3 linked regions of the Lepisosteus oculatus genome follow. The protein of the gene in region 3 purifies or fractionates together with the protein of the main gene of each other region. This does not show direct contact. Links are inferred from orthologs where the notes say so. Each region holds a gene or a part of one and is shown on either strand. Other genes may lie near its edges. The genes, in order: NADH-cytochrome b5 reductase 3-like, atl3 and rtn4a.

What was found.
Region 1: the proteins of rtn4a (region 3) and NADH-cytochrome b5 reductase 3-like purify together in Homo sapiens (affinity purification with mass spectrometry; 3 studies listed by BioGRID and IntAct, counting the BioPlex papers as one, with this or other methods). This does not show direct contact. The link is inferred for Lepisosteus oculatus from reciprocal best matches to the Homo sapiens genes RTN4 and CYB5R3.
Region 2: the proteins of rtn4a (region 3) and atl3 purify together in Homo sapiens (affinity purification with mass spectrometry; 4 studies listed by BioGRID and IntAct, counting the BioPlex papers as one, with this or other methods). This does not show direct contact. The link is inferred for Lepisosteus oculatus from reciprocal best matches to the Homo sapiens genes RTN4 and ATL3.

Annotation. Positions count from the first base shown.
Region 1 is NC_090702.1:53,637,304-53,644,275, reverse strand, and holds the start of NADH-cytochrome b5 reductase 3-like, read right to left. Parts: upstream 3,058-6,972; 5' UTR 2,910-3,057; coding exon 2,892-2,909; intron 1,565-2,891; coding exon 1,439-1,564; intron 1-1,438. Other genes in the region: endouc (uridylate-specific endoribonuclease C), read left to right, coding at 3,288-3,298, 4,609-4,708, 5,303-5,414, 6,930-6,972. UniProt on the Homo sapiens protein: Catalyzes the reduction of two molecules of cytochrome b5 using NADH as the electron donor.
Region 2 is NC_090713.1:23,341,411-23,349,407, reverse strand, and holds the start of atl3 (atlastin-3), read right to left. Parts: upstream 3,007-7,997; 5' UTR 2,905-3,006; exon of another isoform or gene 2,711-2,904; intron 1,234-2,710; 5' UTR 1,212-1,233; coding exon 1,002-1,211; intron 407-1,001; coding exon 269-406; intron 1-268. Other genes in the region: octapeptide-repeat protein T2-like, read left to right, coding at 3,202-3,213, 4,291-4,974; serine/arginine repetitive matrix protein 1-like, read right to left, coding at 5,017-7,166, 7,982-7,997. UniProt on the Homo sapiens protein: Atlastin-3 (ATL3) is a membrane-anchored GTPase that mediates the GTP-dependent fusion of endoplasmic reticulum (ER) membranes, maintaining the continuous ER network. It facilitates the formation of three-way junctions where ER tubules intersect.
Region 3 is NC_090712.1:3,327,137-3,334,758, reverse strand, and holds the start of rtn4a (reticulon-4a), read left to right. Parts: upstream 1-4,619; 5' UTR 4,620-4,972; coding exon 4,973-5,420; intron 5,421-7,622. UniProt on the Homo sapiens protein: Required to induce the formation and stabilization of endoplasmic reticulum (ER) tubules. They regulate membrane morphogenesis in the ER by promoting tubular ER production.

The sequences.
Region 1 (6,972 bases), on a different chromosome or scaffold from region 3:
GGGCCTCCTGACAATGGGGGGGGGGGGGGTGTGGCTTTTTACTGAACAATTACTAAATTAGAGAGACTTTTCTATCTCATTTTTCACACCCTGAGTGGCTAAACCGGTGGAGTTTTAGTTCTGCAGAAGCAATTGACAGATGTTGAGCAGCTCTGCTTGTACTACCCTTCCCCGTTCCGACAACAACAACCCGACACATTTCCAGGGAATAAAGTTGGGGCAGCAGGCTCCAGCCCTCGTGTGCAGGTTTCAGAGGCAACACTGCAGTACCACTTGATTAAGACACAAAGAAAACGGGCAGTTCGACTTCCTCTCCACTTAGTTCCAAAAGTCTAAGATGGAATGAAAACCAGAAAAAAAGTGGCCCTCCAGGTGTGGAGATAGTGACCCCCCAGAATAAACGAGCATGGCTGGGGAAACGCTAGCCAGTTTGAAGGCCCTTGCTGTGTCTGACGATAAATCAGCTACAATGGCCTGCAGAACGCCTAACATGTGAATACCCAGCAGTCCTTTAACAAAGGACAACATAAAAGCATATCTCCTTACTTCTGGGATATGTGGTGGACAGAGACAGCTCCACGCATTCATGACTTTACACCGCACAGAAGCGTGACATATCTGAATTCAATGTTTCTGAAAAAGAATAGATGTCCTGGCTGAGGACCTGACTCTCTGTGGTCATTAAAAATCTAGGACTAGGGGTGTTACCCCAGTGTCCTGACCAAATTCCCTCCTGGCCTCCACCAGTCATGGCCTCCTAATAATCCCCATCTCTGAACTGGCTTCATCACTCTGCTCTCCTCCCCACTGAGAGCTGGTGTGTGGGGAGTGTACTGGTGCACTATGGCTGCTGTCACATCATCCAGGTGGGGCTGCACACTGGTGGTGGTGGAGGGGATCCCCATGACCTGTAAAGCGCTTTGAGTGGAGTGTCCAGAAAAGTGCTATATACCGTTGGTGTTAGAAATTAGTAGTAGTAGTACAATACATATTCTTAATCAAGTAATTGCAATTGCAAAAGCTATGCTGCATGTCACAGGATCATTTATTGTATTCAGCAAAGCTGTGTTTTTTTGTGGTAAAACATACTGTATATGAAAAACTTCAGAGTTTGTCTTATGCATCAAAAACTACATACTTTAGAAAATGTATTGACTAACTTAAAAGGGGTATAACGCAACACCTCTTGTTAAAAAGCATCACGTAATGCATGCTCTTATGAGCAATGTATATGCTGCAGTCAATTCATATTTCTTAACTTCTCAGATTCTCAGGCTGTTATCAATTTCACTCACCTAGACACTTGAGAGAAAAGAAAAGTTAAGTTGTTTTCCTGGAAATGTGTCCACAGGGTAGTTAGGAAAGCACTGAACTGCTAGATGAACACCTGTTACTGACTGAGACGGAGATTAAAAGCAATAAATGAATGTTATCTCACCTCTTTGTCTATGAGTCTTAGAGGGTACTTGATATTGGGATCCTCAAGAGTTATCGCAGCTTTTTTCTTTCCGAAGAGAAGGTGGCAGATGAGATTGCGAATGTAATTATAACTGTCTCGGATGATCTGAAAAAGACAAGTGAAAAAAAAAACATAATGCACATTTGGATTCTGAGTTACACTGTCATAAGTTAGACTCCTACTATTCTGGAAATCCAAAATAAAATGTACCTGCGGTAGAAGTACAAGATAACATTTTACCATTTTACAACAAAGTTAAGAGCTTGTCTTTTTTCATGAAAAAAGACATCTATCCACATGTAGTTGTCAATGCTTAACGTTTAACCCTGCCTGTAAAATATCCATACTGTAGTTTAAAAACCTCAGTGACAACTTTAGAAGGGCTTTGTCATGGGGAGCAGAATATTTCCCCGTCATCTTGGTATATAAAGAGTTAACATTTCATGCCTGAAAGGCTATCAGCACAGGAAGTTCATCAGCTTGGGCAGAGGTCCTTGAAAGAAAAAAAAAACAACAGCGAAAAAAGTTACAAGTGTTTGTTCCCAATGGTAGCTATTCTTGGAGAAACATTCTCCTAAAAGTTCGCTCAGTTACTGTTTCACGCCTCCACCCACTTAAAAAAATCAGGTGCAACGTCGATTTCATTCCCCACATCACTTCCTATTATCGAGAAGGTTGACGTTTTTGCTTTATAAATTAGTGTCTAGCCTTTAATGCTTATAACACCAAAATTCAAACAGGAAAAACACACACACACACAAAGGTGCCCTCTCGTACCACGTCATAAAATGTAAAGTGAAACAAAAGCAAAAAGATACCATCCGCGCTGACGTTAGTATCTGCTCTACATTGTATAAAACTTCATACTATTATAATGAAATTAATTCTGCAGAACGAATACAACACTACTTCGAAAAATGACGGACCACGCATACAAAAACTATAACAGCTCCTGCACATTCAGTGAGGCCATATTACCAGCGATAACCTTCTAGCAGGAAAACACGGGCGCCTTTGCTTAATTGCATTAGCAATTAGTATTTGCATTATAATGGTGTATAATATAGTCTACAAGAAATGTGTTTTACAGACATATGACCCTAATTACAGTAGATGTTGACCAATGCAAGCGCAAAGCGAGACCTTACCTGGACAAATCTACCGCGACCGTCCCTTCATTACAAGTGCAGGACTTAAACGTTTAACAACATAACAAGACGTCACTGATTCCCTTATAAATTAATAAAATAACTAAAAAGCTCTTCTTTATTTTTTTCTTCCCATTAGTGCTGCGCTAACAACACTATAACTCCGAGCATACGTCGTGCCAACACCAGTGCAATGAGTCAGCCAGCTCCTCGGTAACACCATATCTACAATATTTCTCAAAGCAGGTGATTTGACGAAAAAGTCAACAAGTGCCAACACTCACTCGCAGAATAAAAGACATCTCGGCTTCCTCCAGATGCCACAGGTACGCAGATCCTGGACTTATAGCAAAATACTCTTTGCAACTTCTGCAGACAAGCCCCACCCCAGCTCACGATTCTTTTTTCATTTGCCTGCTCCTCCCAGGCGTCCACAACAGAGAAAATATCAACGTCACCATGAGCTGCTGCCAAACCCTCCGGGCCCAGAGAGCCAATCGCTCCGGACCAAGACGATCGCGGAGGCACGGTAGGAGGGACGCTCTCGCTATTGGACCATGCATGTATGCCAAGGAGCCTTCATTGAGCTGCCATTAAAACTGCCTTCGCTCTGAGTCACGGCTAGGAGCAATAAGGTTTACATCTGTCATCTTTAATTGAGGCAGTCTGACAGCGGCGCAATGGCCAAAGGGTAAGAACACACAACAGGCACCTTATCTGCGCCGATAAGATGGTTGGATTTTTCTTTTCTTGTGTTGTTATTATTGTTCTCCCAGATCGCTTTGAAGTTGGCAAAGCGGCTGCGTGTCAGTATCCTGAAGTTGCTGCACAGATTACTGTATTACTGTATTACTGTAGAAAGGTGTCGCGGTGACGCAACTCGGCTAGCTAGCGGGCACCCGGTGCCTTCACCTGAGGGCGTTTTTGGGGTACCTTCGAGGAATAAAGGACTGCAACCAAAATACATCAAAAGGTGCTCGTCTGTGTGATTATACGTAGTGCTCATTTTAATTTTCCTCGACCTCCACGAATAAAGCCGACCTGGTGAAGCGAAGAGGAAGAACAAGCGCATTTGGGTTATTATAATGGTTACAAGTAGTACTTTGTAGCAGGTATCCACAAAAGGCAGTGTTTAAGTTATGCTTAGATATGCCAACACTATTGCATTACACACCGTATTGTTCACTAGTGTCTTCAGTTACGTGAAACTGTTTTCTGCTTTAAACAATTACAACTCCTATGAACGGCAAGTGTAACTTTTTTTTTCCCCTGTGGAGCAAAGGAAGACGCATTCAAATTTCCCTTAAAGGTTGAAAAGCAAGTAGGTGTAGCGAGATGAAATTTATAGCGTAATTTAACGCTATTCAAATCTCACTGTCAAGTGATCTCGCTCGAAAGTAAACGAGTGACCCACCCTCTCTGGCCCCGAGTTACTTTGCTTCTGTTCAAAACCACCAATTATGTAATGCACTTCTTTTTCCTGAACTAATTTTGTCGCGACTTTAGAAATGGGAGATCTCTTTGGTTTGTCTTTTGCCGAGCATTTAAACAATTAATTAATGGCTTTTTACATTTAAAAAAACCTTAAAATTAACAAATGAACTGTGCTAAGTACTAAAACCTCTGTATCAGGCAATTAATTATTGAAAGCCTGTGGGCGGCTCTCTAGATGTTTAAAGTTTCGTTTTTGGTAAAATGGTTTCATCACCTGGGTCCCACTATCAGCCAACGCCCGAACTGTTAACGTCCTCAGCTTCCTTGAAATCTTAATGTTCTAATTTCACTTCCTATATTTATAGTCGATTTGCTTTGAATATGAAAGTTTTAAGAAATGAAACCAATTCCCCAGTTTTTGTGCTTTCTGTTGGACAGCCTCCCACTGAAATGGAAAAACAAACTGCTCTCTTAAGCTATGTGACTGTGTCCTAGTAAATTTGACCATTATCTTTATTTTAAGATAATCAGCAAAAGCATTGTACTGTGCTCCTCTCATTCCCCCAGGCAAGGGATCAACCAAGAACTGTCCAGCCTCCTGAACGAGCTGTGGGCTTTGGATGAGAACCGCCTGAAGCCCGGGAAAGACTACACCATCTCCCTGCAGGTGTGGCTCACTGCCCGAAACCTTTCCTGTCCGGCAGACGGCGGACTGAGCCGCTTTGCGCTTGCCTAGAATAATCCATGACTAATCTTGATTTAAATACCAAAATACGAGAACTGGTTTAGTTGGTCAGGCCGATGTGCAGTCCTTATCCCCTGTGGTTGCGGAGCCAGCGTCATAACACTTGGAGTTAGTGGAGCACTTACAGCGATATTGAGGGACGAGTAAAGTTGGAATTCGTTGTTGACAATTCCAAGGAGCAGGCGATGGATAAAAATCCAGTGACTACCTCCTAAACAAATTATAATTTACCCCAGTGAAATGCTGCAGAGTTGTTTTGCAGGGATATCTACTGTACCACTCTTTTGAAAGTGTTCATACAGTACTTGCTTGTTTCAGTAGTGTGTGCATATGGTGCTGTAGATGTCTTAGTGGCTGAGCTTTCTACTCGTGTTTGTTTGGCACTGGACAGTAGGAAAAGTGTAGCGTCTCTTTACGCAAGCTTTGTGTAAAACTTGGTGGATGGGGGTGGGAGTCGTGGCAGGCAGTGGGCTGACTGTTTCTTGTCACTTGAGATCCCTTCTGTGTGTCTTTCAGGGGAAGGCAGGCTATGTTGCTCCAGGCAGTAACTCCGCCAGAGACAGGGCCAGTGCGCCACTCTTCTCTCACGTGAACGAGGAGCGGCTGAGGACCATCAAGACGTACGCGTGTGAGTCATATTTGTGCTCCTGTGTTTAAACCCGTGTTTGGCGTGTGTTTAAACCTGAGAAAAGTAAAAACAACAGTGGTATACTACAGTTTCCTCTACGCTGGAAAGTTCATCGTGTTGCACCGTTCTGGGAAAGATACATCTTGTTTGCTATGAGAAAAAGACTGGGCATCCTGTTTACAAAACCGAGATATTGACGGTGTAAAACATGGTATTACTTTCAATTGTTCAAATGTTTTAATGTCTTTGTGTCTATAGACTGTAGCTGTGCATGTCTGCTGTGTACATTGGGATAGTAAACTCTCAGATTCATTATTGTTGCTTTAGGATTTGTATCTGACATGTATCACATTGGGTTTTTTTTTAGGAAAGTGATTTTCATATTTAAAATAATGTATCTAACACTGTTCTGAAATGTTTGTTTAGTTCACCTGATTAACTGATGATTATTTCTCCAATGAGTTTGAAAGAAAATGCAATTTTTTAGGTGGTTGGGGGGGGGGGGAGATTTTTCACTGACGTTTTGGAAAATAAAAACTCCCTCTTTTCTCAAAGTTAAAATATTTTTATGGTTGGAGGGATTCCTAATGAGCATGTGTCTCATAGCCATTGTTTGGCATGCTAATCTTTGTTGCATAACAACCACTAACTGTAGCCTTCATTTTCATTTTTACTTGTATTGAAATGCATCTGTTGATAAGCATTTTGAAGCAATTGTTGTCTTACCCTGTGATATTCTGCTGTTGACAGGTCAGGCTGGTGCAGGATTGTAACTCTGGCAATTAATGTGGACATTGAGCAGCAGGGGCTTGTGAGAATGGCTGAAACTCATTAAGGGGGATTTCTGTTCCTTCTCCCCTTCAAAGTACCTCCAACTGTACAGATTGAAACAGTGCAGGAAGTGTTAAATCGTGTTAATTGAAAGGTTACATCCTTTGTCTGTTTCCTTGGCTGTGAATCCCCGTGTTTCAGCACCAGTGTTATCTGAGACAGCCCTGAATCTCACACCCCGATAGCAATCTGGGAATGTAACCTTGCATTTAGCTGCACAATTAAACAGTGAGCAAAGACATTAACCTGTGAAAGTGAACTGTCTCATAATTTCACAGGTTAATGTCTGTGTTCACTGTTGATCTGTAGTATTTTATTCAGTGTGCTACAGCGGAGTCAATTAATTAATTATGCTAATTAGCCAATAGTTTTTATCTAAAGTGATTTACATTTGGACCCCTTTACATAGCAGAGTATTTTTTACTGGAACAATCCAAGTGAAATACGTGAGTCAACAATGCAGCTACAGATCAGATTTATATTTAAAGGGGAGAATGGTAGAAACACCTTTAAAATTGCTTCAGCCTCTCCTCACAAGTTGCCACTGAATCATACTTTGTTACTGGACAATTCAGGCTTCTGGAGGTCTGGGACATCAATCGTAACACTCCTCTGGTGTAGAAGGAGGATGAGAGGTTAAGGACTGGGTACATGTCTCCACCTCATTATTGGTTCTGACTCTAGATTTCATGAAGCTGCTGGATAACTATGAGATGTCAACTGGAGT
Region 2 (7,997 bases), on a different chromosome or scaffold from region 3:
GCCCCCACAGCGCGGCTGAGGCACTGCGCTACAGAGAGACCGGCGCCCCCTACAGCGCGGCTGAGGCACTGCGCTACAGAGAGACCGGCGCCCCCTACAGCGCGGCTGAGGCACTGCGCTACAGAGAGACCGGCGCCCCCTACAGCGCGGCTGAGGCACTGCGCTACAGAGAGACCGGCGCCCCCTACAGCGCGGCTGAGGCACTGCGCCTCCTGCTGGCCACCAGCACCTCCTCAGCCCGTTCACACGGGACTGGACGGCTCAGCACCTCCTTGCCGTTGGGCTTCTCCACCACGAACACCTCGCTCCAGATCTGGATCCCCGTGGTCTCTGGGTCAGAGCCGCCCCGCCAGGAGAACCCGGTCAGGGGCTCGGTGTCGGAGCCCAGCCAGTCTCCAGCTTCATCCTGCAGGACAGGAGAGAGGTTCAGCCCTGAGGGCATGAGAGTGTGTGTAAGAGTGTGTGTATTATTGTGTGTGCATCAGTGTGTGCAAGAGTGTGCATCAGTGTGTGTGTCATTGTCAGTGCGTGTGCATCGGTGTGTGTCAGTGTGTGTGTGTCGGTGTGTAAGAGTGTGCGTCACTGTGTGTCTTAGTGTGTGTGTGTAAGAGTGTGTGAGTGTGCATCAGTGTGTGTGTCATTGTCAGTGTGTGTGTCTTAGTCTGTGTGTCAGTGTGTGTCAGTGTGCGTGTGTCGGTGTGTAAGAGTGTGTGAGTGTGTCATTGTCAGTGTGTGTGTGTCGGTGTGTAAGAGTGTGTGTGTCATTGTCAGTGTGCGTGAGTCGGTGTGTGTGAGTGTGTCACTGTCAGTGTGTGTGTCTTAGTCTGTGTGTCAGTGCGTGTGCATCGGTGTGTGTCGGTGTGTAAGAGTGTGTGAGTGTGTCATTGTCAGTGTGTGTGTGTCAGTGTGTAAGAGTGTGTGAGTGTGTCATTGTCAGTGTGCGTGTGTCACTGTCAGTGTGTGTGTATCAGTGTGTATCTTGTGTGCTCTGCGCTCCTCACCTTCCTCTTCATGTAGCGCAGCATGAAGTCCAGGAGGAAGGACTTGCCCTTGCGGAACGCCCCGGCGACCGACACCACGGCAACGTCCAGGTCCCGGACCTCCGGCCGCAGCAGCACCGCCTCCAGGGCCTTGGCGTCCAGGGAGAAGGAGTGGTCCTCCTTGTGCACACTGACGATCTGCACCGGCCGCGGCTCACTAGCGCCCCCCATTTCTCACTGTGTGTCACTGCGCCTGGGGATTGAGGGCAGCGGGTCAGCGCAGCTCTCTCACTCACTCACACATTCGCACTGACGGCACTGTCACACCTGGAGCGGATCAGACTGCTGCACACTGGGAGTCTGACAGCACTGTCACACCTGGAGCGGATCAGACTGCTGCGCACTGGGAGTCTGACTGACAGCACTGTCACACCTGGAGCGGATCAGACTGCTGCGCACTGGGAGTCTGACTGACAGCACTGTCACACCTGGAGCGGATCATACTGCTGCGCACTGGGAGTCTGACAGCACTGTCACACCTGGAGCGGATCAGACTGCTGCGCACTGGGAGTCTGACTGACAGCACTGTCACACCTGGAGCGGATCAGACTGCTGCGCACTGGGAGTCTGACTGACAGCACTGTCACACCTGGAGCGGATCAGACTGCTGCGCACTGGGAGTCTGACTGACAGCACTGTCACACCTGGAGCGGATCAGACTGCTGCACACTGGGAGTCTGACTGACAGCACTGTCACACCTGGAGCGGATCAGACTGCTGCGCACTGGGAGTCTGACTGACAGCACTGTCACACCTGGAGCGGATCAGACTGCTGCGCACTGGGAGTCTGACAGCACTGTCACACCTGGAGCGGATCAGACTGCTGCGCACTGGGAGTCTGACTGACAGCACTGTCACACCTGGAGCGGATCAGACTGCTGCGCACTGGGAGTCTGACAGCACTGTCACACCTGGAGCGGATCAGACTGCTGCACACTGGGAGTCTGACTGACAGCACTGTCACACCTGGAGCGGATCAGACTGCTGCGCACTGGGAGTCTGACAGCACTGTCACACCTGGAGCGGATCAGACTGCTGCGCACTGGGAGTCTGACAGCACTGTCACACCTGGAGCGGATCAGACTGAAGCCCTTCAAGAAAGTCCGATCACTCCGATGGGAGTTGAAGGCGCTGGACTGGGGTGCAGAATCCATTTTCTGCGGCCAGACCAGCGCCTGGTCTTCATGAAGGAGCTCTTTGAGCAGAGGCAGTCAGGCGCTCTCCACAGACAGCAGAACAACACATCTGTCACACAGTGTGAACACACACCAGATCTGTGGGGAGCTGAAGATCTGGAGATCTGACGATCGCCTCCACAGCGCTCGACACCCCCACCCCCACGCGTGCCGGTGTGCTGTGCTGCCCTGCCCTGCCCTGCCCTGCCCAGCCCAGACCCGGGCTCCCACGGCCCAACAAGCCCCCCGCTCCCAGTGTCCGATCCACGTGTCCCCAGAGGATCCGGGTCCCTCCGGTGAATCTCTCGCCAGCACAGACCCACTCGGCGAACCGCGCTCGGTCCGGCTGAGTGAAGAAACGGTCCAAGACACGCACTCGCACACGCAACCCCAAAGCCTGCGTTTTCATCTTCCCGGGACGCGCAGAAACGCTGTCAGCGGCCGCGGAGAGCAGGAAGTTAAAACGCACAGGTAGGCACGTCCAGAAATACATACTTTTCAAAGGAGAAAGCGCTCCTTCCCTCCCCCTCGAGAGCCGAGCCAGACGCCTCGCAGACGCGGACGGACTCCGGTTTGCACACGCAGCAGGACCGGAGCAGAGCAGCCTTAGCCTTAGGGGCCAGTCGGACCCGCAGAGAGCACCAAGCAAGAGAAAGGAACTTCAAAGTGTGGTCAACGCTTTTCTTTACCTGAACAACGAGCCTGTAACGCGATGCCAAAACTTTTCTGTTTTTTTTCTCGTCGTTATCTGGAAAAAAACGCTCTAACCAACCAGGATTGAGGGGCAAGGGCGTCTGGGAATCGTATTTCCTGACAAGGGCGACGCCCGTGCGGTTTAGCTTACATCTTTTTTGCAGAAGACTACATCTCCCAGGAGGCACCGGAAGCCAGGGGCATCATGGTAGTTGTAGTGAATCGCTGCAGACCGTGGAGGGGAGGGCGAGGCCAGCCTGGCAGACGAGCAGGCATCTCAGGGCGGAGGAGCGATGACTCAGAAAGTAGCCATTTCACGCCAGTGTAGTTAAAAAACAAAACTGTGGTTTCCCCTGCAGACACCCCGAGCGTTAAGAGAAGAAACAGCCGCATCTTCCTGAGAACCGATGTGGCGTTTTGACTGCAGTGGTAACAGTAATAATGATGAAGGGTGTCGCAGAGCGTGCAGGTACAGGGGTCACAGATGGGGTGCAGGTTTTTGGGGCTGTCACCTCCGGGGTAGAGGGGTCACAGATGGGATGCAGGTATTTGGGGCTGTCACCTCCGGGGTAGAGGGGTCACAGATGGGGTGCAGGTATTTGGGGCTGTGAGTCCTGGGGTAGAGGGGTCACAGATGGGGTGCAGGTATTTGGGGCTGTGAGTCCTGGGGTAGAGGGGTCACAGATGGGGTGCAGGTATTTGGGGCTGTGAGTCCTGGGGTAGAGGGGTCACAGATGGGGTGCAGGTATTTGGGGCTGTGAGTCCTGGGGTAGAGGGATTGAAGTGGGATCAGTGATGCAGGAGAAAGAAAGAAAAACACACAGCACTCAGCCTGTCTAGATCAGACTCATCACACTTTAATCAGCATCAACAGACAGCAGCACACAGAGCCCCGAAACTGGACTTCGAGCTGGACACTGACCGCAGGCACTCAGAGCCCCGAAACTGCACTCGGAGCTGGAGACTGACCGCAGGCACTCAGAGCCCCGAAACTGCACTCGGAGCTGGAGACTGACCGCAGGCACTCAGAGCCCCGAAACTGCACTCGGAGCTGGACACTGACCGCAGGCACGCAGAGCCCCGAAACTGGACTTCGAGCTGGACACTGATCGCAGGCATGCAGAGCCCCGAAACTGGACTTCGAGCTGGACACTGATCAAAGGCACACAGAGCCCCGAAACTGGACTTCGAGCTGGAGACTGACCATAGGCACACAGAGCCCCGAAACGCCAGCAGGAGCACCCAAGAAGCACACAGCGCACTCCGCTGTCCATCAATGGGGTGCACAGCACCCCCCACTCCACACAAGGGCATCAGGTCCTGCAGAGCTGGGGCTCAGAGTCGCATCACTCCTGTCCTCGATTCCCTGCACTGGCTCCCAGAAGGTTTCCAGTCCCCAAGGTCTGTCTAGTGACAGGAGCAGGAGAGGAGCAGGAGGAAGCGGGAGGAAGCAGGAGAGGAGCAGGAGAGGAGCAGGAGAGAAGCAGGAGAGGAGCAGGAGGAAGCAGGAGAGGAGCAGGAGAGGAGCAGGAGAGGAGCAGGAAAGGAGCAGGAGGAAGCAGGAGAGGAGCAGGAGGAAGCAGGAGGAAGCAGGAGAGGAGCAGGAGGAAGCAGGAGAGGAGCAGAAGGAAGCAGGAGAGGAGCAGGAGAGGAGCAGGAGAGGAGCAGGAGAGAAGCAGGAGAGGAGCAGGAGGAAGCAGGAGGAAGCAGGAGAGGAGCAGGAGAGGAGCAGGAGAGAAGCAGGAGAGGAGCAGGAGGAAGCAGGAGGAAGCAGGAGAGGAGCAGGAGAGGAGCAGGAGAGGAGCAGGAGGAAGCAGGAGGAAGCAGGAGAGGAGCAGGAGAGGAGCAGGAGAGAAGCAGGAGGAAGCAGGAGAGGAGCAGGAGAGGAGCAGGAGAGGAGCAGGAGAGGAGCAGGAAAGGAGCAGAAGGAAGCAGGAGAGGAGCAGGAGAGGAGCAGGAGGAAGCAGGAGAAAGCAGGAGGGGGGACAGAGATCACACGAAGCACGAAGGCATGGGTACGACACACCAAGCCCATGTCTGGAGTCCAGGAAAGGCTGGAGAGCTGAGGTCTCTCGGGTCCGGACTGGGGGTCCATCGTCCTGCCGGTCTCAGCGGAAAAAGTCTTTGAGGACGGCCAGGGACCCCACAGCCCCCAGGGGCTCCTCTCTGGGCCTGTCCCCCTTCCGCACCCCAGCCAGTCCCGCGCCAGAGCTGCGCTGGGAGCCCCGCCCGCGCTCCGGAGGGGGGGTGGGCGAGCAGGGGTCTCCGAGTGGGGCGCCCCCACACTCCAGGGACCCCCGCCCGCTGGAGGACAGCCCCGTCTGGGAGCCGCTGGCCGCGCTGGCCGCGCCGGTCCGCGGGGGGCTGCCCAGGTTCCCCAGCGACCCCAGCCCACTGGAGCCAACGGCGGGGTCACTGCCGGACCCCTGCACCGGCCCCCCTGCCCCCGCCTGCACCCCCCTGTCCCGAGAGTGAGAGGGAGTGAGACAGTGGGAGTGACTGGGGCTGGGAGCTCTGGTGTGAGAGGGAGAGTGAGAGGGAGTGAGACAGTGGGTGTGACTGGGGCTGGGAGCTCTGGTGTGAGAGGGAGAGTGAGAGGGAGTGAGACGATGGGAGTGACTGGGGCTGGGAGCTCTGGTGTGAGAGGGAGAGTGAGAGGGAGTGAGACGATGGGTGTGACTGGGGCTGGGAGCTCTGGTGTGAGACGGAGAGTGAGAGGGAGTGAGACGATGGGAGTGACTGGGGCTGGGAGCTCTGGTGTGAGAGGGAGAGTGAGAGGGAGTGAGACGATGGGAGTGACTGGGGCTGGGAGCTCTGGTGTGAGAGGGAGAGTGAGAGGGAGTGAGACGATGGGAGTGACTGGGGCTGGGAGCTCTGGTGTGAGAGGGAGAGTGAGAGGGAGTGAGACGATGGGAGTGACTGGGGCTGGGAGCTCTGGTGTGAGAGGGAGAGTGAGAGGGAGTGAGACGATGGGAGTGACTGGGGCTGGGAGCTCTGGTGTGAGAGGGAGAGTGAGAGGGAGTGAGACGATGGGAGTGACTGGGGCTGGGAGCTCTGGTGTGAGAGGGAGAGTGAGAGGGAGTGAGACGATGGGAGTGACTGGGGCTGGGAGCTCTGGTGTGAGAGTGAAAGTGGTTTCCATGCCGACCTTGACCACAGTAGCTGTCGCCGTGGAGACAGTCCCGCCGGGCGCTGTGGGGTCTCCCCTGCCCGTAGCCCCGGCAGGTCTCGGCCAGTTTGCTGTGCATGACGGCCAGGGACCCCAGGCTGTCCAGCAGGCTGCCCACTCGCTCCCCCTGCGGAGAGCAGGACGCCCCCCTGCTGGGGCTGTGCCCTCTCTGCGCCGCTGCCCCCTGGGGGGCGCTGCCAGCGTCCGTCTCTGCTCGCTCCCGGTCCCCCCCGCCCTCCTCCTGCTCCCCCGCTCTAGGCACGCCCTCACCCGCCTCGGCGCCCCCCCAGGCCAGCCGGCGGCGCCTGCCCCCCAGCGTGGGGGAGGGGGGGGCGGCCAGGAAGTCGCGGATGGCGCTCGTCTCCAGGGAGACGCGGCGGGCGTCCGTCTCGCTGTCGAACACCGCCTCCGTGTCCATGGAGACCTCGCTGGCGGCCGGCGGGGGCGGGGCGCGGGGGCGGGCACGCCGGCCGGGGGGCGGGGCCGGGGCGGCGGGCAGGCCGGGGGGGCGGCGGGCGCGGGCGCGGGGGGGCGCGGGGCGGCGCCGGGCAGGGCAGCCGGCCCGCTCCAGCAGCCAGGTGAGCAGCTCCTTGATGAGGATGGAGATGACGTTGAAGAGCGAGTAGGTGCAGCACACGCCCAGCAGGATGCAGGCGAAGTTGCCCAGGCCGTACAGGGGCGGCTGTGACCCCAGGGGCGCCCCGCGCTGCCCGCTCACCAGGTCCCCGAAGCCGATGGTGCTGAAGGCGACGAAGCAGAAGTACAGGGCGTCTCCGTAGCTCCAGCCCTCGGCCGCGCTGTACAGGCAGGAGGCCCCCAGCGACACCGCCCCCGCCGCGGCCCCCAGGATGCCCATCACCGTGTAGACGGAGGGCTTCCACCCCCCCGGCGGCGAGCCCCCCGTCTCGGGGTACACGCCGCGTCGCCGCAGCCTCGCGCCGCGGACCCCCTGCAGCACGACGGCCAGCAGCGTGACAGCGCGCTCCAGGAACAGGTTGAGGAAGAGGAGGGTGCCCGCGCAGCCCAGCAGGCCGTAGAAGACGAGGAAGACTTTGCCTGTCACAGTCGCTGGGGTGGTCATTCCAAACCCTGGGGACACAGAGCGAAGACAGAAGGGTCACCCTGTACCCCAGCAGTCCAGTCTGGGTCACACTGTACCCCTACAGTCCAGAGATCACTGTCCAGTCTGGGTCACACTGTACCCCAGCAGTCCAGTCTGGGTCACACTGTACCCCTACAGTCCAGTCTGGGTCACACTGTACCCCTACAGTCCAGTCTGGGTCTCACTGTACCCCTACAGTCCAGAGATCACTGTCCAGTCTGGGTCACACTGTACCCCTACAGTCCAGTCTGGGTCACACTGTACCCCAACAGTCCAGAGATCACTGTCCAGTCTGGGTCACACTGTACCCCTCCAGTCCAGTCTGGGTCACCCTGTACCCCTACAGTCCAGTCTGGGTCACACTGTACCCCTACAGTCCAGAGATCACTGTCCAGTCTGGATCACACTGTACCCCTACAGTCCAGTCTGGGTCACACTGTACCCCTACAGTCCAGTCTGGGTCTCACTGTACCCCTACAGTCCAGAGATCACTGGTCCAGTCTGGATCACACTGTACCCCTACAGTCCAGAGATCACTGTCCAGTCTGGGTCACACTGTACCCCAACAGTCCAGTCTGGGTCACCCTGTACCCCTCCAGTCCAGAGATCACTGTCCAGTCTGGGTCACACTGTACCCCTACAGTCCAGTCTGGGTCACACTGTACCCCTCCAGTCCAGAGATCGCCGGTCCAGTCTGGGTCACACTGTACCCCTACAGTCCAGGCTGGGTCACACTGTACCCCTACAGTCCAGTCTGGGACCCTCACTACGGACGCTACGGTCACCCCCAGGTCCAGCTCACCGATGGTGGACACCAC
Region 3 (7,622 bases):
CAAACGCAACCTCTGAATAGAGAGACTGGCTGCTGTACGACAAGAGCAAGAGGACCAGATGGATTTAGTCTTAGGCTCAACTTACCTGACAGACGCTCTCAGCACGCAGAGCAAAAGTTGCACCCGCTCTCACCCACTGAAATGCCCAACCAGGCGTCATCCACATGGCCGAGCAAGTTCCTAAGCTCTGGGCCTCGTTACGCGTCAAAACACAGCACAGTGACTCTAAGCACTGTAAACACTCTGGATAGGTTACGCCCAAAAACCAAGCCAAGCTGAACTGCCAATGTCCCTGAAGGGACTTTAACATAACAAAAAATAATTCCCAGCCTAGTCTCCCTGCGCTTGTGTAAAACGACATTGATAAGGGTGTGGAATAGACTCTAATATGAAAAAATGGACTGAGCCGGTAGAATAAGACAGCTTAGTTAAGAATGGAGAGTCGTCCTGGTGGGCGCTCAGTGGTGGATGAAGTGGGTGTGCTCTGATATGCAACGTGTATAAGGATCCTTGGAGATGAAAAGCGATTCATGAAATGCAATTAATGAAAGGGCTACGGTACATGGTGATTATTGACATGGGAGATGATCGATAGATGGATGACTGATAGATCTGGGTGAGGTGGTGGTGAGCCGCTCTTTGCTAGGTGCATCAGTACCATGAACTCCTGACCATAACACTCCCATTGCCTTTCAAGATATCTGCCATGTTATTGACTCTGATAACCAATGAAAAGCTGAAGCAGTTCAATTGTTCAGCCAAGGACCCCTGGAAGGATGAACCCCATTCCAGTCCTGGTCAGTATGGTTCAAAAATGTCTTATTTGTTTTCAGAGTTAAGGGATAGGATGGGCGTGTCTTTGAGCTTTAGCAAATAACTGTAGTAACATTTGGAATCATATACATGCAGAAATAAATATTATTAAAAGGACAAAACTGAAAAGAATCAGCTACATAAATGATCTTGTCCTCCACTCACTCCAGAAGTGTTTGATGTTGGAGTTGTCACGCCCTCTGTAGCCAGAGGGCGCTCCTTCTCTGTCCTGTCCCTAGTTTCTGGTCTGCTGTCCTTCCGGTCCCTCTCTTTCCCTTGGGCTATATTTTTCCGGGTCTTGCACTCTGCCGGGGCTCAGCATTGATGTTCGGATGTCCTGAGACCCGCCTAGCACCAGGTCGCCCCACGTCCGCTACCTGAGGGCATAGGTTTCTATACGGCATTCCTGAACTCTTTGCACTACGAGCACGGGCCTTTTTCCCGTCTCGCCGCTACGCAAATGGATCTTTTTCCGCTCTCCTGCTGCCCTCGGGTAGCCCCTTTGGACGTCCGTGACAGGAGTCCTGTGACTCAACACCACAACACCACAGATATCTACAGAGCTCTTAGCCTTTCATATCTGTGTTACGGGGCTGGAATGCTTCTGTGATTGGTTCACTGCTGCTTTTGGAAATAAAGGTGTCGGAGGGAGAGATTTTTGCACACGAGACATGTAAAACAAGACATTAAGAGTTAAGAGTTTTAATGCTGTAAATGCTGTAAGGTGAAGCTGGCATGAGCTTTGATGAGGCAGTATTGTAGTAAGTAGTTAAAACAACTCACACCTGAAGAAGGCTTCACATCCAAAACATTGTGTTTTTTTTCTTCTCTTTTCAGCAGGGAATAAACCTATTACTTGTTCCCTTGCAGCCTACGCATGCTGACGCAGCTCCCCACCTGAACTACTGTAAAAACAACGTACTTGTAAGCTTAAGCCTTATTGCCACATGTTGTTTTAAGACGTGTATGTCTCTCTAATTTATTTTTACTTCCACTGTATCTTTACTTGGAGATTTTGTTCTTCGGCCAAAGTCCTTCTTGGAAACTGGTTAGATCAGCAACTGGGCCCACTGCTCATATCCAGAACAAGCAAACTGGAACCCAGCGACAGTGGTCACTGTCTATTGTGGAAAGGCCATGGAGCTGTGTGTGGCACAGAGTAAGGAGATAAAAGGAATGATTAAACACAAACTGGGGCTGCTGGATAAAGGTGTTGATTGGTTTTAAACTGCTGGCAGAAAGCAATCAGTTTGAATTACTGGATTGGGGAACCGGATATCTGTTAAGCACATGTGCGGCAGAGATACACAGGACAGATGTGTGTGTAACTCAGCCAGCATGCACTGTATGTGGTGCAACAGTCTAGGGTGGGATAATGGGAAGTTGTGGTCATATGTACACAGATAGGGCAACTTTCACACTCTTCTGGGGAGAGACTGCAGAGGACGGAACAGAGAATCACGCAAAACAAAGCCCCCAAGATGGAGGGGTAGTTCAGTGCATCTCTCAACGTTGCAGTACGTACTGTCAGCAGGGGCTCTATCTCTTATAGAGTCGAAAGATCTGAGCCCTAAAAATAGCCCTGGTGCCTCAGTTTAGACCGCAGCTATTTCTGTTACAATACGAGAAACAGCCTGTTGCGGGGGAAAGGGACTTGGCTTTCGAAATGCCTCGTAGTCCCAGTATTGGACCAGCACAGAGGTGACAGAGGTAACCACAGGGCACGAGTCTTTGTATGTCACATTACGATAAACAATACAGTATATCTGCACAAACTGTAGAGGTGGATGTCTGCCCCGTGCATCATCAAAACATGGGAAGAGTTAATGTAATAATGTTAATGTTGCTTTATTAGCCCTATACAATTTCTTGCATTAGGAATTCGGCTTTTCACATACCCCAGCTTGCTCTCCATGAGACACAGACACATATACAGGGAGAGAAGCTTGGGATCAGAGCACAGGGTCTGCCATTGTACAGCGTCCCTGGAGCAGTTGGGGTTAAGGGCCTTGCTCAGGGGACAACAGAGTAGGATTCCTCTGCCGGCTGCAGGATTTGAACCGGCAACCTTCCAGTCACAGGCACAGATCCTTAGCCTTCGCTCCGCCCGTTACTTGTTACTAATGAGAGGAGGCCTTTCAGCCCATCTAGATTGTTTGTAATAATAAACTCCTTAAACTTATATAGCGCTTTTCTGGACTCTACACTCAAAGTGCTTTACAGGTAATGGGGATCCCCTCCACCACCACCAGTGTGCAGCCATAGTGCACCAGTACACTCCCCACACACCAGCTCTCAGTGGGGAGGAGAGCAGAGTGATGAAGCCAGTTCAGAGATGGGGGTTAGGAGATCATGACTGGTAAAGGTCAGGGGGAACTTTGGCCAGGACACTGGGGTAACACCCCTACTCTTTTCAAGAAACACCCTGGATCTCGTCCAGTTGTCTCTTTAAGACCTCTGGGGTATCAGCTTCAACAACAGGGCTGGCTAGCTTGTTCCGGGCTCCCACAACCCCATTGTGTCTGTTTGTGTTCAAGCTCAGGTGTTGGTGAGTTTCAGTGCTGGCGTCTTCCTATCCAAACAGCACAGACTCGCAGGGCCCATCGTACAGCAGAGAAAAGACTGGCCTCGAGCCACTTTACAAAGAGGAACGCGCACTGAAAGAGCACATGTCTGCAGGCACAGCAGAGAAAATGAATGGCTGAAAACAAAAAAAAGGGGGTTGTATCGGCAGCTGTCAGTAAAATTAACCCAAACGCAGAGAGGCAAAGAGAGATGAATTAAAAATGAAAGCTATTGTTAATGGCTCATTCATTTGCCAATGTGTCAGGCTTCACTGCTGCTGTTTACGTCTCAGTATAATGGAGACCCAGGCCAAGTTTGTATTGTAAATAGCTGAAGAGCAAGGCAGCTCTTACAACTGTAACTGCAGACATCTGCAGTGTGTCACAATCAGCGAGGACTCACGTGGATTCTTTCTCAGCTCTCCGAATTGAAAAACAGTGGGCATTGCCCACACCAAAAGGCCAGGAACTGACCCACAGGAACATACAGATTTTCTTAATCACCTAAATATTTAACGAGCTCCCTTTTGTAAACTTGAAGGGACACAGCTGTGTGTCAGCTCTCATAATTCTGGCTCTTTTTTTCGGAGTCATCCAGTAATTAGATGAGCTGATGTAACAGAGGGGAAGTCTATGAGGTCACCGAGTGCAGTCAAGGTGACCAATACTATACAGAAATACCTCTTTTGGGATGACGGTAAAAAAAAAGCTATAATACGTTATAGCTTGTTATAACGACTGGAATGTTATAATACGACTGGAATTCATTTATCTTCTCTTCCAAGGTTTGAATACGTCTTTACTACACGGTCTGTCTCTCACTGCTGCTTTATCAGCTACAATAACTGGAACATCTCCTTTTTATGGCGCACTGACAATATCGCCAGAGCCTTTATCGATCACAGCCTACACGCAGGACTGTATATCGTTAATTATTTACTTTAACAGCGAAGGTTAGGCCCGTGAAACCTGCCAGTGGTGGTACCGGCGTTTTATAACATCTTGGGGAAAAAAATGCACGCTTTTCGCTACAAGAAATGTTGCAGATAACTTTCGATCTGCTTTGTCACACTTTTCACGTATCCTCGTCTTCCGTGGTTACAGCCGCGTTACTAAGCAAAACTCCCAACGACACCGGAGATTGAAACCGCTGCAGATTGGTGGGAGCCGGGGGATGGGCGTGGTCCTTTGTTCGGCCCTCACCTTCGTGGCGGGGCGGTAGAAAAATAGTTGGGAGGGGGGAGGGAGGAAGAGCCGGGTTGGTCGGGGCGGACGTCAGTCAACCGAGATCGGCGCGCTGATTGGCCGAGGTCCGCTGAAGGGCTCCTCCGGGCACCGCAGTGTGGCGCGTTGCGCGTGCGAGAGGCTCCCTGTTCTGTCCTACGCTCTCGTGGCCGTGGCGCACTTGTTCAGTTCATCTCCGCCGGAAGGCAGCGACTAGCCAGCCCAGCGCAGCTACTCGGGGGGGGAGAGAGAGAGAGAGAAAAAAAAGGAGCACTTTCACTAGAAAGGTGTGTGTGTGGGGGGGAAAATCTTGGGTACACACCTTATAAAGAAGGGCTACACAGGGGGCGACTCCGGACACGAAAGAGGAAATGGAAGACGCGCAGCACATCTCGTCCACGACGCCCGGCGTCGATGAACTCCGCAAACTTCAGGGGGACCCCGACAAGATGGACGAGAGCAAGTTGTACGACGAAGCCGCCGGCTATCTGTTGCAGGAGAGCGGCGGCGGCTCGCCCAGGCCGCTGGCCGACGACGATATCCTCGACCTGGCCGGCGGCGCCCGGGATGCTCTCCTCCGGCACCGCTCCGCCACCCCGCCGGGGACCGGGGACCCGGACAGGGACCTCTACTCGGAGTTTGCCCCCGCGGCCGAGCCCGGCGATCTGCTGACGGGGATGGGCGGCTTCGGGGCGCCCTCGGTGAAGCAGGCGGCCGATAGCCCCCCGAAACCGGAGCCGCCCAGAGCCGCCCCGCGGAGCCCGGCCAGCGACCCCTCTCCCGCCTCCTCCTCCTCCTCCTCGGCGGCCTCCTCCCCAGGTGAGCACCGGTGCCCCTTTCGGAGGAAAAAGACAGTTTAATTTAGGCGTGTCTGAAGCGGGTGGGTACTTCACCCGGCCCACGGCCCCTGGGGGGGCCGCACTTCTGTCTCGCGGAAGTTGGGGCGCTAGACAATGGCCGTGGCTGCGCCCGAGGAGCCGGGAGCCTTTGTCGCGTGTGTGTTTGTGTTCCTGTATTATTGCACAAATAAAGCACAACTTCAATGCCGCGTTCCCGAGGCGGGGGGTGGCCCGGAGAAGCGCGGTCCGATGACTCTCACGCCGGTGCTGCCCACCTGTGTCGCCCCGGCGAGACGCGGGGGATCCGGGGGACCCGCAGCCGCTAACGGCTCCTTCTCAAACGGAAACGCAGTGCGCGGCTGAGAGAGATGAGATAGTTGTTTGCCCCTTTTGCACAGTATTTTAGGATCGCGTCCTGTGTGTGTCTGGGGGGGGTGGTAGTTCGTTTTGGGGTTGTTTTGGGGGGGTGAATTGTCCCTGAGTCAGCAGCCATTTTTCTCCAGCTCCTGGGTGGTCGAGATGTAATCAGGGGGTCGGGATAAGGACCTGTCTGTGTCTTGTCTGTGTGTGTTTTAGTTGCTATGGCGTAGTCCCATACCGGGGAGAGCTTGCACAGACCGTCGCGGCCGTCAAAAGATGTTTTTTTGTAATTCTTTTGCTGACGACGGGACTCCCCCTCCCTCCTGACTGATGCGCTATAATGCCGGCCAGGCTCTTGTCTCGGCGAGGCGGCTGGCTGGCTGCACTCGGACCCGACATCCCGATCCGGTTCGGGTCCGGTGTTCCGGGGTGGATCGACCGATGGGCGTGGGTCCGACAGGTGCTGGGAGTGAGATGGCCCGAGCAGACAGCCCCCCCGGGGGGGAGGGGGCGCAGATTTGGCCAGCTGTAGCCCTGGGGACGCTGTTTGGGACCCGACCCCCCCGCTGATCTGTGTGTGAAGTGATTAAGCTGCTGGCTTTTCTGGGGGGGGTGAGAGAGGTGTAGCGCAGTATCTGGGGGGGAGGCGACAGCAGGCGCACAGGTCAGGAGGCCCTGGTGGTGGGCCGGGCTGGGCTTGCTCCGACGCCGAGCAGACTGCAGCGCCAGTCTGCGCCCACGGCCTTGGAGAGGCGGGTGCGGTGTGTCTGCAACAAAATGATCTCCGACAGGAAAGTAGTCTCCATACGGAAACAGCGGACGAGCGGCCAGACAGAAATGAGAATCCCGCACATGTTCTTTAAGGGAAAGAAAGACCTCATCATATCATCCAGGCGAAACCTGTGGCTTCTTGATATCCGCGCTGTACCCCGCGCCGGGGAGGGGTACCTCCGGCGCCGGCTTTGTTTTAGTGGGTGATGTCATGCTCTGCGGCCGACAGGGGCCGTAATATACGATCCCACAGATAAGCACATGCTCGGCTACTCCTTATTTGTTTAATTATTTACAATAAAATACCTCTCGTTCTTTCAATTGACACACCGCCCTATGCGTCTAAACAATCGTATTAAAAAAAAAAGTGCAATCATAGGGATATGAATTAGACTTTCTCCAAGGCAGGCAGATAGCCACAGTATTCTGTCTCCAGTGCTTCTCAGGGTATTGTTTTAAAGCCCAGGGGATTTGGCCTTGATCTGTTTATCTTCCATAATCCCTTTGTACTGTAGCTGCTGATGCATATGTACCTACACCAGTTTCACATGCTGCACATGTTTTCTTCAGCTCCTTCCAATGTAGGACTTCTGTTCATGCAGGCTCGTTTACAAGGCATTCATGTAATATGTTCTGTAAGCATGTTACACGTTTTTTTTCCAATTAAACTGCTTCTCCTCCTCTACCCAAATTTCGGGTTTAGAAGAGAGACTTTGCTCTTATGTGCTTTTTTGGGCCAGATTTAGGAGCTTCATGAAAATGCCGTACCTAGCTCAACAGGACACAGAAAACCCATTTGGACAAATTCAGTTAAAAATGGCGTTTCATGTTTTATACTTTATATAATAATGTCGAGACGGTTGGTTCTGAAGGCCTGTGGGTGATGTTGCCTAGCCAGTTCAGGGAAAAGGGTTAATTCTCAATAACTTTGCCACCTTGATTGGCTTTTCAGAGGTCATGCCATTTAGCAGTTTGTTGTGTTTACTGGGTTTCTAAGGACCAAACTAATATAATCATCAGCTGCAGACCCTCAGATTATCTGAGTGCATGT